Stegostoma tigrinum: one gene and its partners. The protein of the gene in region 1 interacts with the protein of each later gene in a biochemical or structural test. Links are inferred from orthologs where the notes say so. Each region holds a gene or a part of one and is shown in the gene's direction. Other genes may lie near its edges.

What was found.
Region 2: the proteins of mcm6 (region 1) and chek1 form a complex in vitro, tested with the Homo sapiens proteins (2 studies listed by BioGRID, with this or other methods). The link is inferred for Stegostoma tigrinum from reciprocal best matches to the Homo sapiens genes MCM6 and CHEK1.
Region 3: the proteins of mcm6 (region 1) and mcmbp form a complex in vitro, tested with the Homo sapiens proteins (2 studies listed by BioGRID). The link is inferred for Stegostoma tigrinum from reciprocal best matches to the Homo sapiens genes MCM6 and MCMBP.

Annotation. Positions count from the first base shown.
Region 1 is NC_081360.1:73,160,060-73,163,809, reverse strand, and holds the start of mcm6 (DNA replication licensing factor MCM6), read left to right. Parts: upstream 1-1,030; 5' UTR 1,031-1,152; coding exon 1,153-1,250; intron 1,251-3,162; exon of another isoform or gene 3,163-3,361; intron 3,362-3,575; exon of another isoform or gene 3,576-3,750. UniProt on the Homo sapiens protein: Acts as a component of the MCM2-7 complex (MCM complex) which is the replicative helicase essential for 'once per cell cycle' DNA replication initiation and elongation in eukaryotic cells.
Region 2 is NC_081385.1:31,886,119-31,889,868, forward strand, and holds the start of chek1 (serine/threonine-protein kinase Chk1), read left to right. Parts: upstream 1-748; 5' UTR 749-795; intron 796-809; exon of another isoform or gene 810-834; intron 835-3,750. UniProt on the Homo sapiens protein: Serine/threonine-protein kinase which is required for checkpoint-mediated cell cycle arrest and activation of DNA repair in response to the presence of DNA damage or unreplicated DNA.
Region 3 is NC_081373.1:26,240,646-26,244,395, reverse strand, and holds the start of mcmbp (mini-chromosome maintenance complex-binding protein), read left to right. Parts: upstream 1-1,434; 5' UTR 1,435-1,476; coding exon 1,477-1,534; intron 1,535-3,750. Other genes in the region: sec23ip (SEC23-interacting protein), read right to left, coding at 1,127-1,247. UniProt on the Homo sapiens protein: Associated component of the MCM complex that acts as a regulator of DNA replication.

The DNA of each region.
Region 1 (3,750 bases):
CCTCTCTTATTAGGGAGAAAGAAGCAGTAAATGAAGAGTAGTAGAGGAAAAAAAAACACATTTCTGAACTTAGCATTAAATCAAATAGCTGCATTTACAAATTTAAGAGTATTTAAAAGTCTTTTTTTTTGAAAAATTCCATAGGACCTGTTCTAACTGTAGGCTTTAGTTGTCGCAACGTGATAAGATGATTCACTTAACATCGTTTCATTTAAGGAATGGTGTCAGAAGTGCAACTATAAAATTGAGCCAAGTACTACATAAGTGGTCAGCAGAAACGACTGGATTTATGCTGGCCCCTGTAAGTAAGGAGGAAAATTTGGAAAGGAGGCACAGGTACTTGGCAAAACAGTAGCAGCTCTTTAAATGCAGCCAACACCTCAATTAAAGTGGCTTCATCTCCAAGCGTACGTTCTCCCTACATAAGGTCAGAAAGCACACGACATCAGGTTATAGTCCGAGATAGTAAGAACTGCCGATGCTGTTGTCAGAGATAACACGGTGTGGAGCTGGAGGAGCACAAGCAGACCAGCAGCATCAGAGGAGCAGGGAAGTTTTTCTGAAGAAGGGTCCCGACCCGAAACTTTCCGGCTCCTCTAATGCTGCCTGGCCTGCTGTGCTCCTCCAGTTCCATACTGTGTTATACCAGGTTATAGTCCAACAGGCTTATCTGAAAATACAAGCTTTCACAGCCTCAATCCTACTTCAGGTGTTACCTGATTTCTTGTCCACCCCAGTCCAACACCGGCATCTCCACATCACTCCATTAAACACTTAGAAATAAAATCTTGATTTTGATATGATACAATAGGAGTTTCTTTCTGCACTCAGGGACACCCAACCAGAGGCACTGAAAGTTTGCAGATACCGTGGGAAGGCCGGATACAGCAGCCGTCTCCATTGATCCAGACACTGAGCCTTGGGCGGGCCAAAGGTCTAAAGCCCCGCCTCCTTGGGGGGAGCAGCTGGCGAGGCCCGTGCCCGAAGGCCACGTGATCAGAGGAAGGGCTGGCTGACTGGCCGTTCTCTGGCGGGCAAGCTGGGCACGTGACTTGAAGTGGCGCGAAAACGAAGATCGCGCGCCTGAGGAATCGATCGGTTGCTGTCGTGTACGATTCTTTGTTAATCTGACCGACATTGTTTTCCTCCGAGATGGATCTGGCGGAGACCGCGGTAGGAGCCGCCGGGCAGCCGGTGAAGGATGAGCTGGCGGAGAAATGTCAGAAACTATTCCAGGAATTCCTAGAGGAGTAAGTGGAGTTAGCGGTGAAACTTCTGAGGGTGGGGAGGAGCTAAGGACCGATTCCGGGGCCCTCGTACCAGTAGGGGAGATTGAGGAGATCAATCCCGGACCATCGTTGTGTCACTGGCTGCAGTGTCTTCAGTCCGTGCATGTCGCGTTAGGCCTAGGGTGTGTTTGCGCTCTGAACTGTTGAGCCACACTCACTCCGCGACGTGATTTTCCTCAGCTCGGTCCGTGGTAGGCGGCAGCTGCTGCTGTTGGTACAGCCCAGGGCGCCGAGCCGCAGCGGCTCAGTCAGCGCATCGGCTGTCCTGCTGCACCAGCATCCCCGTCAACAGCACGGAATTATACAGCCGATTGCGCGTTCTTTGTACTGCCAGCTCTTTCCTTCCCCACCCACCCAAAACACCTGAAACAACTTCTCCCGCCTCGTTGGTTTTTACTGAAGTTTTAGCCATCTCCTGGATCCTTTAAACTGCGCTGCCAGCGACACCTGTAGAGGGCGCATGAAGTACGCATGCGTTTGCAATCCAGCGGTGGACAGCCGCTGTCAGTCTCTATCATTTCTGAACGGATTGATTAGATAATGCCAACGATAGTACTAGCCAAAAGTTCTCTGTGATGTAGGGTTCCCTGTTGCCGTCTGTCTGTCTGCTGCCATTCAGACTGCCCAGAGAGCCAGGAGGCTATACCTGAGGGTGCTGTAGCAGCTGTATACCTCACCACCTTGACCACATTCCAGACATGTAGCAGCTACTTCCGGACACTGGGCTTGGTCCTCTGCAAAGGATTCTTCCTAAGAAAGTCCAATGCTTCATAGGCACCCTGGAAAAGCATAGCTCCACGTTAGTTATCCCTACCCTCTGCTTTCTCCTTATCATCAACCAGTAGAAAATAGAGTACGCTCCCACTTGTATCAGATGCACATCACCAGGTGATGAAACAAACATAGAGAATTTGGGAATAAAGCAAAGAGCTATGGATGCCGGCAATCCGAAATAAAAGCAGAAGTTACTGGAGAAACTGAACAAGTATGGCAGCATCTGTGGAGAGACTAAGTGTTGACACATCAAATCCAGAATGACTTCAGAAGTGAAAGATACATAAAAGTGCAAAAAAGTCTTTATGAAGAGGGGTCATACTGGACCCAGAACATCTGTTTCTCCCTTGACACATGCAGTTAGTCCTGCTTAGTTGCTCCAGCATCGCTTTTTTTCCCCCCCTGATTTCCGGTATGTGCAGTATTTTGCTTTTATACACAGTATTATGTCTCTGGACATGCAGATCCTTGCTATGGACTCATGGTTACAGACAGCAAATGCATAGGGACCATTTTGGAGTAATGAATAATCACGCCATTTAAATTTTGTTGCTGTAGTCCAGAAGTTAGCTATTTGGGACCCATTTTTGGCACATTCATAACAATTTCTGGTTTGTTCTGATCATGAGATCCCTGTTACTAGATGACAGTATAATTTTATTAAGCATTGATCTGTTAGTCTCCTTGGTCTTCCAAGTTGAGATTACAAAACGACATTAGAATTCATGTGGACAAACATATCTCCAGACTCTTTAGCACCAAAGCTCTGGTCTCCCAAATCAAACTGCAAATTACTACTTGTTCCCTTTGGCTCATATTTGAAAATTCAGCTCAATTATCCATTGTTCTTAACACCTAAATGGATTTTATTTGGGATCTTGTTCCATAGGTTTTAAGATTATTCCTATGCTACATTTTAGCATTGTTCAGTGGCCAGAATAAGTAAATTCAGGTTGCTATCAGGATTTAAACACACTTTTTTTGTAAGGTGTTTATATAACAAGGAAGAGAGAAGCCAAAGTGAACATTGGCCTTTTAAAGATCAAAACTCCTATGATGAAGATTGAGAGGTTGTTGAAGGAAAAAAAGTCCCTCTTCCATCATCAAGCAAGTTGGAGGAGACAAAATTGTGGTACACATTTCATCAAAATCTGCAAAATGCTACGATATTACCCCACTGAAGATGTCCCTCGCAAAAGGATTAGTCTTGTTACCAAACCTTTCAGCCAGCACAAAAGTTGCCTTTGTGCATCCGTCACACTAGGAACTGTACTTATCATGCTTGCCAGTTGCCATAGGTGTAAGTGTGAGTTTTTTTTCTTCTTTATTCATTCACGGGACGAGGGCGTTGTTGGCTAGGCAGCGTTTGTTGCCCATCCTTAATTGCCCAGAGGGCAGTGAAGAGTCAACCACAATGCTGTGGGTCTGCAGTTAAATGTAGCCAGACTAGGTAAGGCAAAATATCAATTGTTGCTCTTCCGGTTTATGTTTGGCCTCATTCTGACACTGGAGACAGCCAAAGGCAGTCATGTCACCGTGGGAGTGGGAATTAAAATAGCTAGCAACCAGTGGCCTGCTGCTGGTGACTGATCCTTTGGCTCTCAACTGAATTGCAGAGAGCCAACGAGAAGTTTATCATTGCAACATTGACAAAGATTGACCTGTCAGATGTAAAACTTGCCTACCA
Region 2 (3,750 bases), on another chromosome or scaffold:
GAGCACCTGGAGGAAACCCAGGCAGACACAGGGAGAACATGCAAACTCCACACAGACAGTTGCCCGAGGCTGGATTTGAACCTGGGTCCCTGGCGCTGTGAAGCTGCAGTGCTAACCACTGATCCACCCAGCTGGCAACTCTTGTTAGCATCCAGTGGCTGCACTCAGTTGGAAAACAGTGTATTGGTCCTACCTCTGAATGCAGTCACATTGAGCTGGGGAATCTGAGATAATGGGAACTGCAGATGCTGGAGAATTCCAATATAATAACGTGTGAGGCTGGATGAACACAGCAGGCCAAGCAGCATCTCAGGAGCACAAAAGCTGACGTTACGGGCCTAGACCCTTCAACAGAGAGGGGTATGGGGAGAGGGTTCTGGAATAAATAGGGAGAGAGGGGGAGGCGGAACTGGGGAATCTCATGGCTCCCGCTCCTCTGATCCATGCACATGAAATGCGATTCAGTAATTCTGTTCTTGCTCCATTGATGCATTCCTGCCCTCTGAAAGTTATCAACATCCTCTGCTCATATTTACAATTTTGTTGCAATTAAACTGAATAACTATCCACCTAATTTCCAATTCGATGTGATGAAGTGACCCTGGTCTACCACACGATCAAATCCAGCTGCAGTCGCTGTGTCACTAACCCATTCAGAACAGCGCCAGCTTTGAAACTCCCGCCCGCGCTGACGGCACCGCCAGCCTCAAGCCCCCAGCAGCGCGGTGACGTCATTGCAACGTGTTGACGTTCGCAAGGCGCGAAAATCCATGGGAAGAGCGTTACGCAGAGAGAGTGAGTGTGAAAGACGGAGAGAGAAAGATGGGGGAATGAGTGAGTGAGAGAGAGAGAGGGAGATGGGGGAACAATTCAGTGTGTGTGTGTGGAAGAGAGGTGGGGGAATGGGGTGAGAGAGAGAGAGATGGGGGAATGAGTTGCTGTGTGTGTGAGAGAGAGAGAGATTTTGGAATGAATGAGTGTGTGTGTGTGTGAGAGAGTGTGATGGAGGAATGAGTGACTGTGTCTGAGAGAGAGAGAGATGGGGGAATGAGTGACTGTGTCTGAGAGAGAGAGATGGGGGAATGAGTGACTGTGTCTGAGAGAGAGAGATGGGGGAATGAGTGACTGTGTGTGTGAGAGAGTGTGATGGAGGAATGAGTGACTGTGTCTGAGAGAGAGAGATGGGGGAATGAGTGACTGTGTGTGTGAGAGAGAGAGATGGGGGAATGAGTGACTGTGTGTGTGAGAGAGAGAGATGGGGGAATGAGTGACTGTGTCTGAGAGAGAGAGATGGGGGAATGAGTGACTGTGTGTGTGAGAGAGAGAGATGGGGGAATGGGTGACTGTGTGTGAGAGAGAGAGATGGGGGAATGAGTGACTGTGTGTGTGTGAGAGAGAGAGATGGGGGAATGAGTGACTGTGTCTGAGAGAGAGAGATGGGGGAATGAGTGACTGTGTGTGAGAGAGAGAGATGGGGGAATGAGTGACTGTGTCTGAGAGAGAGAGAGATGCGGGAATGAGTGACTGTGTGTGTGAGAGAGAGAGATGGGGGAATGAGTGACTGTGTGTGTGAGAGAGAGAGATGGGGGAATGAGTGACTGTGTGTGTGAGAGAGAGAGATGGGGGAATGAGTGACTGTGTGTGTGAGAGAGAGAGATGGGGGAATGAGTGACTGTGTGTGTGAGAGAGAGAGATGGGGGAATGAGTGACTGTGTGTGTGAGAGAGAGAGATGGGGGAATGAGTGACTGTGTGTGTGAGAGAGAGAGATGGGGGAATGAGTGACTGTGTGTGTGAGAGAGAGAGATGGGGGAATGAGTGACTGTGTGTGTGAGAGAGAGAGATGGGGGAATGAGTGACTGTGTGTGTGAGAGAGAGAGATGGGGGAATGAGTGACTGTGTGTGAGAGAGAGAGATGGGGGAATGAGTGACTGTGTGTGTGAGAGAGAGAGATGGGGGAATGAGTGACTGTGTGTGTGAGAGAGAGAGATGGGGGAATGAGTGACTGTGTGTGTGAGAGAGAGAGATGGGGGAATGAGTGACTGTGTGTGAGAGAGAGAGATGGGGGAATGAGTGACTGTGTGTGTGAGAGAGAGAGATGGGGGAATGAGTGACTGTGTGTGTGAGAGAGAGAGATGGGGGAATGAGTGACTGTGTGTGTGAGAGAGAGAGATGGGGGAATGAGTGACTGTGTGTGAGAGAGAGAGATGGGGGAATGAGTGACTGTGTGTGTGAGAGAGAGAGATGGGGGAATGAGTGACTGTGTGTGTGAGAGAGAGAGATGGGGGAATGAGTGACTGTGTGTGTGAGAGAGAGAGATGGGGGAATGAGTGACTGTGTGTGTGAGAGAGAGAGATGGGGGAATGAGTGACTGTGTGTGTGAGAGAGAGAGATGGGGGAATGAGTGACTGTGTGTGAGAGAGAGAGAGAGAGAGAGAGAGATGGGGGAATGAGTGACTGTGTGTGTGAGAGAGAGAGAGAGATGGGGGAATGAGTGACTGTGTGTGTGTCTGAGAGAGAGAGAGATGGGGGAATGAGTGACTGTGTGTGTGTCTGAGAGAGAGAGAGATGGGGGAATGAGTGACTGTGTGTGTGTGAGAGAGAGAGAGAGAGATGGGGGAATGAGTGACTGTATGTGTGTGTGAGAGAGAGAGAGAGATGGGGGAATGAGTGACTGTATGTGTGTGTGAGAGAGAGAGAGAGATGGGGGAATGAGTGACTGTATGTGTGTGTGAGAGAGAGAGAGAGATGGGGGAATGAGTGACTGTATGTGTGTGTGAGAGAGAGAGAGAGATGGGGGAATGAGTGACTGTATGTGTGTGTGAGAGAGAGAGAGAGATGGGGGAATGAGTGACTGTATGTGTGTGTGAGAGAGAGAGAGAGATGGGGGAATGAGTGACTGTATGTGTGTGTGAGAGAGAGAGAGAGATGGGGGAATGAGTGACTGTATGTGTGTGTGAGAGAGAGAGAGAGATGGGGGAATGAGTGACTGTATGTGTGTGTGAGAGAGAGAGAGAGATGGGGGAATGAGTGACTGTATGTGTGTGTGAGAGAGAGAGAGAGATGGGGGAATGAGTGACTGTATGTGTGTGTGAGAGAGAGAGAGAGATGGGGGAATGAGTGACTGTATGTGTGTGTGAGAGAGAGAGAGAGATGGGGGAATGAGTGACTGTATGTGTGTGTGAGAGAGATGGGGGAATGAGTGACTGTATGTGTGTGTGAGAGAGAGAGAGAGATGGGGGAATGAGTGACTGTATGTGTGTGTGAGAGAGAGAGAGAGATGGGGGAATGAGTGACTGTATGTGTGTGTGAGAGAGAGAGAGAGATGGGGGAATGAGTGACTGTATGTGTGTGTGAGAGAGAGACAGATGGGGGAAATGAGTGACTGTGTGTGTGTGTCTGAGAGAGAGAGAGATGGGGGAATGAGCAACTGTGTGTGTGAGAGAGAGCGATGGGGGAGATGAGTGACTGTGTCAGAGAGAGATGGGGGATTGATTGACTGTGTGTCTGTGTGTGTGAGAGAAGATGGCGGAATGAGTGACTGTGAGAGAGAGAGAGAGAGAGAGAGAGAGATGGGGGAATCAGTTGCTGTGTGTGTGTGAGAGGGAGAGATGGCGGAATGAGTGACTGTGTCTGAGAGAGAGATGGGGGATTGATTGACTGTGTGCGTGTGTGTGTCTGTGTGTGTGAGAGAGAGATGGGGGAATGAGTGACTGTGTGAGAGAGAGAAAGATTGGGGGAATGAGTGACTG
Region 3 (3,750 bases), on another chromosome or scaffold:
ACCTTTCCACAATTTGAGCAATTTTGGCATTTCTGTAAAATTCTAAAGTTCTAGGAGTCAATTTTATTGTTTGTGCATCTGTTTGAGGATAGCCTTAATATAAAAACTTGGCCTCAAATTTCAATTGTTCTAATGTGTGTACATCCAGCTCATCTGCACTGTGCACTCACAAAATAAAACACGTTAATAGAAAGTCTTGCATTCATGTGGCACTTCTCACAACCTCAGGAGATTTAAAAATACTTCATAGTCAATTAAACTCATTCAAATTGGGATTGTTGTTGTAATGTAGGAAATAAGAGAGTAAATGTAGAGAATGGAAGGATCTACAAGCAGCTATTTGATAACAATAAAACTGTTTCATTCTTGGTATTAGATGAAGTATAAATATTGGCAGTGAAAACTTATTTGATTTTCTACATGCATCTAAGAGAGTAGGTGGAGTCTCTGCTTATCTTTCCACGGAACAGATAGCACCTACTGTTGGTGTAGGATGCAATCAGTACTGTACTGAAACACCAAACTGCATTTTGTGCTCAAGTCCCCGGAGAAGAACTTAGATGTTCAATCTAAGATTCAGGAGGTGAATCTTCTACTACTAAGCTACAATTGCCAGTACAGCAACTCTGACATCTGGCATCATACAAAAACAGCTGCAGAATGTTAATGCCCAACAAAATAAAATCATGCCATACATATTGTACAGGTCGCCACAAAGTAGCTTGGGCTACAAGCAGGCTAAACAAACCACAAGTGAGTCTAAGCCCGATTACATACATCGTATTTTTAATTGCTGACTTTTTGATAGACCTGCTATTAGGATCGGACCACTCAATTTTCTTTCAGTACACGTCAGGCTCAAATCAAAGACTGCTCAGTGACACAACCTCCTTCCGCGCCCCGTGTAAGGTGATAAAGGGATCCAAACCCTGTGGACGGCTGAACTGAATACTTCTCGATGAGACTTCAAATCACAGACACCAACACCCTCGCAACCAAGCAACATGAAATTCAAGGATCCAGATGTCGACCCTGGAGTGACTCCTCCTCCTCCTCCCCCATCCCGAGCCGGGGAGTCTGTCTGCCATCCTCTCAACACAACCGCGGGCCTCATTCATTCACCCACCCGCTGAGAGAAGGCTGCTGTCCGCCGCCTGCGCCTGACTGACAGGGATGAAAGGCACCGGGAAACTGAACTCGGTGTCGGAGGAGAAAAGCAAGTTAGTGCCGCTTTTCCTGTCGGCCATCTTTACTCCGGCACCGACACGTAACCAGCTGCTCCGCGGAGCGGGATGAGGGGCGGGGCGGGTGGGGGTCAGAGGTGAAACCGGCCCGGTACGTCATGGCGCAGCGGGTCAGGGGTCAGCGGCTGCGTCAATGACGCGATTTTCCCGCCATCGCCGTTGGTCACTTCCCTCCCCCCCCAACCCCCGCCCTGCCCCCCCCTTTCCCCCTGTCCCGCAGCAACTTCTCAACATGCCGTGTGTTGACGACTGGGTCAACGACCCTCTAGGCGCCGTGCAAAGTATTTTTGGTGAGTTTGCTTTCTTTCTCCTTTGTTGCCTAATCGCTTTTATTTTTGTTTTTGTATTTGCAAGTTCTTCCATTCCTGGTCCGCGATTTCTGTGCTTGTGCAGGCCTCCCATCCCAGCTCCTTCTCAGCAGCTCCTTAACCTTCCACCAACACCCCCCCCCCCCCCCACCACATCACACACAACCCTCTTTTTCTTACACGGAGCTTTAAACTTCAATTCGGAGACAAAATTGAACTTTACAGCTTAAGTATTTATATCAATCCCAGATCAAAAGGCAAGGCTTCGGCAAATAGTTCTTTTCTGTAAGCTGATTGCTTGTGAGACCATTTAAACTGTGAGCTACTTTTAAAACCATTGGCTTTATAATATGCTTTGTACTGTTAGAGAACAAGCCTTTAAGATCCAAGACCAAGCTGATTTCCATGTGGGTGGAGACAGTTATGGAAATCTGGCAGTATTCCAAAGTAGTTCGGTGTATTTTCTTTAAATTGCAAGTTATCGAACTATCAGAAGACTTAGCCTTGTTTCATGCTGTAGCTCATTTCTTTTGTGCACGTTTAGGGGACTTCCTTCAGTAGGTGGATTCATGTTGATTTACGCAAATGATAGAATATATTCCAAACAACTAATTTGATGCTTGTCAATAACATAATCAACCAATTTCCAAACTCCTGGAAAGATCGTTATCATGAATATAGTCTGGCATATTTGACTTTTGGCAAGTCCAGTGCTTCCTGACTGATATACATCTGTTTTTGTGACTGTTAGATCTCACATTGTAGTTTGTACTAAAGTGAGTCTGTTGAGTGGCCTTAATAAAATAAATCTATGTTGAATATATTTCTGAACTTTTAATTGTTTGAATAGTTAAATGATTATTTTGGAACATTGAAGAAATATTTAATCATGGGAGTATCAGCAATGTTATGTGTAATGATCCACAAATTGTGCATATATTATTTGCAGAACAGATAGAGTGGACAGTGAGAGTTTTTTTCCGAGGATGATGACGTCAGCTTGTACAAGGGGGCATAGCTAAAAATTGAGGGGTGATAGATTTAAGACAGATGTCAGAGGCAGGTTCTTTACTCAGAGAGTGGTAAGGGCGTGGAATGCCCTGCCTGCCAATGTAGTTAATTCAGCCACATTAGGGGCATTTAAACAGTCCTTGGATAAGCAGATGGATGATGACGGGATAGTGTAGGGGGATGGGCTTAGATTAGTTCACAGCTCAGTGCAACATCGAGGGCCAAAGGGCCTGTTTGCGCTGTATTGTTCTATGTTCTAACTGGTCAGCTTAAGGAGGCAGGCTTTTCCACAGATGCCAGCAGTCAATGCCAGAGGCTAGAATTTGATTACCATGGCTATTTGACAGTTGTGGGGCTGGACATTAAACTGATAGGAATAGGAAAGGTCACAGAGAGATTTGAAAATGAGGATGTTTGTTGTTTAACAGAAAGCCATTGTGAATCAGTGATCAGAGCTGATACAAGTGATAATACTAAAGAAGTTGTAAGAGGACCAGTTTGTCCTGAGGTCTGTAACTTTCTTATGTATAAAGTACCTTGTTTGATATTCAGTACTGAATGAATAGATGTTAGGGACACCAAACTATGATCTTTGGTTTTCACCCACTCTGTTCCTCACCTGATAACCATCTGAGGATTAAAAACAAAGTTGCTAGAAAAGCTCAGCGGGTCTGGCAGGATCTGTGAAGATAAAAAACAGTTAAAGTTTCGGGTCTGGTGACCGTTCCTTACTGGACCCGAAACATTAACTCTGTTTTTCCTTCACAGATGCTGTTTGATCTGCTGAGCTTTTCCAGCAACTTTGTTTTTCCTGATTTACAGCATCTGTAATTTTTTTTTTTTTCGGTTTTTATTTATCATCTGAGGATTACCCAGTATGTACTTTGTATGTATTTGTATTGTAATAGTTTTATTTTTGCCTCTGTGACATTGTCTGATTGATCTGTCTCAGAGCATTGTTGCTGAAACCCTCATCCATGCCTTTAGTATGTCCAGCCTTGACAATTCCAACCTAATTCTGGTCAGTCCTATACGTTTTAGTTTCCACAAAGTTGAGGCCATTCAAATACCTTTATCCATTCCATTTCTTGCACCAGATCCTGTTTATTCAACAGATATCCATGCTAGTTGAATTCCAGTCTCTTTCTTATTTATGATTATTAGTTGCTGTGCTTTAGGCATCTGTA